Linked DNA regions of Rattus norvegicus. The protein of the gene in region 1 purifies or fractionates together with the protein of each later gene. This does not show direct contact. Links are inferred from orthologs where the notes say so. Each region holds a gene or a part of one and is shown on either strand. Other genes may lie near its edges.

The links.
Region 2: the proteins of Sae1 (region 1) and Sumo3 purify together in Homo sapiens (affinity purification with mass spectrometry; 3 studies listed by BioGRID and IntAct, with this or other methods). This does not show direct contact. The link is inferred for Rattus norvegicus from reciprocal best matches to the Homo sapiens genes SAE1 and SUMO3.

The regions. Positions count from the first base shown.
Region 1 is NC_086019.1:86,205,040-86,208,687, reverse strand, and holds part of Sae1 (SUMO-activating enzyme subunit 1), read left to right. Parts: intron 1-1,705; coding exon 1,706-1,817; intron 1,818-3,648. UniProt on the Homo sapiens protein: The heterodimer acts as an E1 ligase for SUMO1, SUMO2, SUMO3, and probably SUMO4. It mediates ATP-dependent activation of SUMO proteins followed by formation of a thioester bond between a SUMO protein and a conserved active site cysteine residue on UBA2/SAE2.
Region 2 is NC_086038.1:11,013,756-11,017,403, forward strand, and holds part of Sumo3 (small ubiquitin-related modifier 3), read right to left. Parts: intron 3,391-3,648; coding exon 3,262-3,390; intron 1-3,261. UniProt on the Homo sapiens protein: Ubiquitin-like protein which can be covalently attached to target lysines either as a monomer or as a lysine-linked polymer. Does not seem to be involved in protein degradation and may function as an antagonist of ubiquitin in the degradation process.

The DNA.
Region 1 (3,648 bases):
TAGTTGGCCTGAAACTTCCCATCCTCCTTCCTTAGGTTTAGAAGTGCTGGGATTGGGGTTGGGGATTTAGCTCAGTGGTAGAGCGTTTGCAAGGCCCTGGGTTCGGTCCCCAGCTCCGAAAAAAAGAAGAAAGAAAGAAAAAAAAAGAAGTGCTGGGATTTTAGCTATGCACCCCAGCACCTGACAGCCACTGGGCGTACTAAAGACTTTAACGCTTAAGTAAGCACTCACCGATTGTGGAAGTCATTTTGAAAAAGAGCCCCTGGTGTTTGTTCTCCAGGTGCTTTGTTTTTTTGTCTTATTTTTCTTTGTAGAAATCAAAACAATTCCCCTACCTGTTTTTGTTGTGCTCAGGTTGGCCTAACTATGTGGCATAGCATGACTCTACCCCCGATCCTGTCTCTGCCTCTCCAGTGCTGCAATTACAGGTGTGCACCCACAACTTCTTGTGCCTCCATGTATTTTGCTTCTGTGCTCCAGATTAAATAATGCTCCTCTTACTGAGCTGGGGGTTATACTTCATTAGTAAAGCACTTGCCTGCTCTGGCAGGAGCCCCTGAGTTCAGTCCACAAACCATAATAATTATACTGCCTTTTCAGCACCTCTTTGGTTACTATACTAGTCTGAGTGCGCGTGCACACGGTTTCTAGTGCCTACCTCGTGCTGTGCCCCTCATTTCACACTTCACATTGGTCCTTTCTGCATCACGTTGCACCTCTTTGTTTTTGCTGTCTCTGAAAGCGGTCAAGCCAGGCAACCCCTTCTTTCCTTTTGCTTTTTTCTTTTCCTTTTTTTTCTGAAACATGTTTTTGTGTGTATAACAGCCCAGGCTGTCCTGGAACTCGCTTTGTAGACCAGGCTGGCCTAGAATTCACAGAGATCTGCCTGCCTCTGCCTCCTGAGTGCTGGGACTAAAGGTGCCCACCCCACCCAGCTTCAGGTGTCCCTTCCTGAGCTCGTGTGCTTACAGGTTTAGGTTTCTATAGTGGAATGCTTTCTTTCCCGCTATCTGTATGTTGGCTGCTTGTTTATTTCGTTTTGATTGAAAAGCTCCTTCTCTGGGTTTCTTTTTGTTGTTGAGATAAGATCTTTGTGATCTAGTCTGGATGTGAACTTCCTGAGATCCCTCTTGTCTCAGCTTCCCAGCCGCTCAGATTACAGATACACTCCTTCAGAAAGGTTTTATCATTACCACTGGTCTGTTTAAAATTGCGTCTTCCTTTGTCCTCTTTTTAGACGTTTATTTTGTATTTCTGGGGATCCATGCAGGACCTCATACGTGCAAGGCTGAGCTATAACCCCAGCAGCATCATCTAGTCTTATTTTTTTTTTTGTTTTGTTTGGTTTTTTTTGTTTTTGTTTTTCTTTCTTCTTTTTTTCGGAGCTGGGGACCGAACCCAGGGCCTTGCGCTTGCTAGGCAAGCGCTCTACCACTGAGCTAAATCCCCAACCCCTAGTCTTATGTTTAAAGAGCTGCTTTCTTTACTGCTCTGTACATTGTGGAGAAGATGCATGGTACCTGCTCAATAAAGAAGTAATTTTCTGTGCAGAATTGTTTGGGACCTGTTTTCTAGATCTGAAGGTTCAGTGGTGGTTTTGTGGTACATATAGTGAAAATTAAGTTTACTTTTTCTATTGTTCTATGATTGAACAAGTCCCACTGTTTGGGGTCATCGGATTAATAACATAGCATGTGTTTCACAGGCTTCGAGCTTCTCGGGTACTGATTGTCGGCATGAAAGGACTTGGGGCTGAAATCGCCAAGAACCTTATCCTGGCAGGAGTGAAAGGGCTCACCATGCTGGACCATGAACAGGTAGGTACCATCTGGTTGCCTGGTCTCCAAGAGGCAGTGCTGTGTGTGAGTGCTGCTGGGCAAATCCGGTTCAGTGACCTGTAGGTGGGAGACTGAGGCGGGATGGAGGCTTATGCACGTATGTAGCCTTCAGCACCTGAGCTGCTGATTCAGAAGAAGGTCTGGAGTGGTTCAGGAATGAGAACATACAACAGACACCTCAGGTCAGTGTGATGGCACTTGCCTGTAATCCCAACACTCAGGAGACTGAGGCAGGATTATAAATTCAAGCCTAGCTTTTGTTACATAATGAGGCTCCTAAAGAAGTCACAATGGGGCTGGAGAGTTCTTTCAAAGTACAAATCCCTACGTTCACATTGCAGCTCAGAACTGTCCGTAACTGCAGGATCTGACATTCTCACATTCATACATGCCGGCAAAACACCAATGCACACAAAACACCAATGCACACAAAATAAAGGTATATAAACAAACAAAAATAGTCAAAATAATCTTGTACGTGAAACTCACCAATGTTACTTTGAAAAATGTTGAATCAGAGAGAAGGTATATAGAATGCATATACAGAGAATGGTGAGCGTCCAGTATTAAACTGTACATCATATGGAGATAGCACAGCAGTGCCCGGTTCACATGCAGCTTTCTCTGGCTTGTCTCTTCTTCGGGGTTGGAAGTGTGTGTTTATACACTTCCAAGCCTCACTGACATGTAAGTTTTCTAACGATTTTTTGCTGATTTGCTTGCATCTTGGTCTTTTGAGGCAGGGTCTCACTGTAGTTCAGGCTGCCGTGGGACTTGGAGTGTAGCCTCAAGCCTATGAGACCTTGCCTCAAAAAACTAGGACTTGGGGTTGGGGATTTAGCTCAGTGGTAGAGCGCTTGCCTAGCGAGCGCAAGGCCCTGGGTTCGGTCCCCAGCTCCGAAAAAAAGAAAAAAGAAAAAAAAAAAAACAAAAAAAACTAGGACTTTCTACTGTGATATGAAGAAAGCTGACTTTTGTTTGTTGGTTAGTCTGTTTTGTGACAGAGTTTCTCTGTAGTTCTTGACTGCCCTGGCACTCGCTGTGTAGCCCAATCTGGTCACTGAGATGTACCTGCGTCCACCTCCCGAGTGCTGTGATTGAAGGCAAGCATATGCGCCTCCATGCCAGGCAGGCTCCACTATGTAGGGATTGGCTGGGAGCCTGTGTAGACCAAGCTGACCTCAAACTCATGGAGATCAGCCTGTCCTCTGCCTCCATAGTGCTGAGATGAAGGGACGTGCCATAGGTTCTGACTTTTTTATTGCCATTGAGGTAGGATTTTGGTTAGCTCTAGCTGACTATGTGACTTTCAACTCTGATCTTGCCTCTGTCTCCCCAGTGTTTTTTTTTTTCTTTTTTTTTTTTTTTTTTCTTTTTTTCGGAGCTGGGGACCAAACCCAGGGCCTTGAGCTTGCTAGGCAAGCTCTCTACCACTGAGCCAAATCCCCAACCCTTCCCCAGTGTTCTTACAGGCATGAGTCACCACACTTATTTATGAAGTGTGGGTGGTCAGACCTAGGGCTTCATTACTTCTTAGATATTATTGCCAACTACACTATATTCCCATTAAAAGTTGATTAAGTTAAACCTAAGAGGAAAGTGGTATGGTGATACATACCTGTAACCCCAGCACTCACAAATCAGAGGTAGGATTGCTGCAAGTCTGAATTCATCCTGGGCTACATATCAAAGCTCTCATACAGCAAACATTTAAAAAAGAAAGAGAATCTAAGGAAATACATATCTGTGAGCAAACAGGACAATATTTCTGAAGACTACAGTGCCCTCTAGAGGTAGGAGCAAATCTGAA
Region 2 (3,648 bases), on another chromosome or scaffold:
CAACCACCTGGAACTCCAGTTTCAGGGGATCTGATGTAATGTCCTTTTTTGGCCTCTGTGAAAACCAGACATTTGTATAGTACACAGGCATACATACATGCAAGCAAAACCACCCATGTATATAAAAATAAAAAGTTCACACGAATCACCAAGGGTTCAAAGTCCCCCACAATCCTCAGAGGCCAAGAAAGTTTCTCTCTCACAGCAATAAGCAGGGCTTTCTAGAGATGTGGACTGAGAGCTCTGTCAAGACAGGTATGAGTGGGCTGGAGAGATGGCTCAGTGATTAAGGGCACCCGACTACTCTTCCAGAGGTCCTGAGTTCAATTCCCAGCAACCACATGGTGGCTCACAACCATCTGTAAAGATCTGATCCCCTCTTCTGGTGTGTCTTTAGACAGCTACAATGTGCTTATATATAATAAATGAATAAATCTTTAAAAAGAAAAAAAGACAGGTATGAGCAGTGGGTGTCCCAGTGTAGGCTAATAAAAGCCTGCATCCCTGATGACCCTCAGAGACTCCTCAGTCTTCCAGCTGAACCCCAATTCTGGGCACAGTTGGGAGGCAATCTTCCTTAGGAAACAGTGCCTCTCAGAGCAGCACCTGGGCCCCCAGACCTCCCCAGTTCTAACCACCCTGCGGACATGCAGCCTCTGCTATGTCCACCCAAACACACAGCCCTTCTCCTTCCCACGGGGGTTCGCTCCATCACTCTTAAATACAAGCAGAAACTGGGGGTGGGGGTGGGGGGCATTTAGGAAAAGACTCAAATAGGTGAGAAGAGACCAGAAAAGAAGAAAGCAACATGTCCCAGGCCCAGGACACACTGTGAACAACTTAAACAGACACAGGACACTGCAAGTCTGGCCACTCAGGCAGATGGGAAGTTTACACAGCAAAGATACGGCATATCGCCAGAATTATTTTAAGTACACCAGTGCTGTTCTCTTTGAAATGGTTCTTACCTGGGGTAATCCTGCCCACCTAACCGCGTGCATTTCTCAGTAAGGGGGACTTTATACCAGGCCAGACTGAATACTGGCTGTGACCCTGCTCGGTCCTCCTGGAGGCGTATCATTTGATAGGTCTAATAGCTGCTTGTAAGTCAGGGTTGTTGCCTCTGATGTGAGAATAGAGCTAACAGTCCTTGTGAAGAAACATTGACATCCTAGCCTCCTAAGTGTCTCTTATCTCTAACAGGCCTGGTTGGTACCCCACTTATCTTTAGGGTGTTTTGGAGACAGTGTTCCTTTAGCTGAATTCCACTTTGTATGACTCCATGTCTCCTAAGCAAATCCTGTATAACATCAATTCGAGTTTCTTCAATATTGGGAGGCAGAAAAAAGGAGATGGAGCAGTTAAAACACATGTACACTTAAAGCTTTTAGGAAGGTTAAAAACTGTGTGTGCACGCACATGTGCACGCGCGCGCGCGCGCGCACACACACACACACACACACACACACACACACCAAGAAAACAAAAAAAAGTTGCTACTAGGTTAAAAAAAAAAAACCACAAAACAGAAGCAGACAGAGCACTTCTGGGGGCTGGAGAGATGGCTTAGCGGTTAGAGCACTGACTGCTCTTCCAGAGGTCCTGAGTTCAATTCCCAGCAACCACATGGTGGCTCACAACCATCTGTAATGGGATCTGATTCCCTCTTTGACATGCAGGCAGGCAGAATACCGTACACGCAATAAATAAATCTTTGAACGGAGGAAAATGGTCACAGGTAAGCACACAGATTGGCTGACTGAGGGGAACTGGGCACTCCCAGCAGCAGAGGTAGACGTCTGTCTACCCAGGAGCAGGACAGGTAGAGACAAGTCTACATATGGGAAGGGCCCAGAGAGCACCATGCCAGAGTGAGGAGTTCTCCTGAGCCCCTGCTGAGATCTCACATCAGAGAAGCAGAATGTCACCCGTGTCCCAAAACACAGGATGCTAACAGAGAATGATGGCACCTTCCTGATAGCTCACCGCAGCCTACACTGTTACATGCAGCCAGATGTGACAAGATGTCCCTGTCAGATGTGGGAGATGATGCTATTAACACAGAAAAAGACTCAAGAGAAGACAAAGAAGACTCCAGAATGACTCTCCCAAGACTCTGGGATGGCAGCTGTGCATACAACCTCACCTCCAAACAATGGCTTGGGTGGGGCCAGCAGGATGCCCCAGAACACTGAGGTAGCTGACCTAGTGTGCACCCTCAACATAGCGTCTCAGCAGAAACCCGGGCAAACACAACCACAAGAGCAAGGAACAGGCCTACACATGTGCAGTCCAAGTGGTGGCACACAGCACACGAAGCTGACTCAGCTGGGAGGGCACAAGGGGGACATGGTGTCACCAGCAAGCTCCGTCTCACCTTTCCCAGGTGAGAAGTATCTGTGGTCAAAACCCAGAAGAGAGGAGGCCGAGGGCACCATCTGCAGGGCTCAGGAGGTAGGAAAGGAAAAAGCATGGTACCACCTCAGGACAGTACCTAGCTGTGCGGGCAAGCGCTCAGGGCAACCTTGAACCACCGTAAGGAGATGCTGCTACCCTCACAGAAGGGCAGGGCCCCCTTTGAGAGCCACCAGCTGGCAGGGTTCAAACAGGATCTGGCACTTGGGTTTATGTACAGCAAGCCAAGAAGCCACTGAGGCAGACATCGGAGGAGCAATTGAGACTAGGAGTCCAAGGCCTTCCAGGCGGGCTAGCATGTGCCCATCTGCCAGAAGGTCCTAATAAGAATGAATAGATGGACAGACCCAAGCACGGTGTGTACAAGAGCCATGAGTTCACAGTCACAGACAACCCTGCTCACTGCTGGGGACAAGGTCAGTCAGCTTGCTATTGTAAAACAGTAATGAATTGATGGGGTTGCATGTAGCCTTACTTTCCTGAATAACATTAAAAAATAAAATAAAATCGCCAATGAGGACAGCATACATGAGCATAATTGGATGGATACCAGAAAGAGGAATTCGAACCAGCACTGATCCACGTCTGAGTGCACCATAGGGCCTCAGCAGAGCCATTTACTGCCCCTATAGGAGTGTGCCACCACTATGATGGTCTACCAGGTAGCAAGTCCCACTAGAGTCTGCTTAAGCCCAAGATCCACCTATCCATGTGTAGGAGCCCAGGGAGAGGCACACTATAAGTTCATGCTGATACCAAGATCCAGGGCAGTAAAGGCAAGCCTGCAACACAAGCAGCCCCCATCCCCCACCCCCCACAAGACTCCTTCCTCTGGTCAGCACGTACCTGCCTCTCACAGTAGGCCTTCATCAGCTTGCTCAGCGGAGTGTGCCTCTTGATCTTGAACTGCACCACTGAGCCATCCTGCCCTGCCACTTTCAGGTTGATGTGGTCGTTCTCTGTCTTCACACCCTCCTGCAAGACATGAAAAAAAGGGTCTCGAAAGCCAGAATCACCAGGGTTTAAAGCGCAAGTTCTTGGGTAAGGTTGTTGTTTTGACTCGTTAAAAACAACCTAATTCTCAAAATTCCCCCAGCAGCTCAGAGTTGCTCGTGGGACTGTCTTATTTTTACACAGAATTTATTTTTAACCTACATTCGTTAAGCACAGTGGTAGAAACCGCAGTGCAAAGCCAGTCCTTACAGACTACCAACTCAAAGACAAAAATCTGCT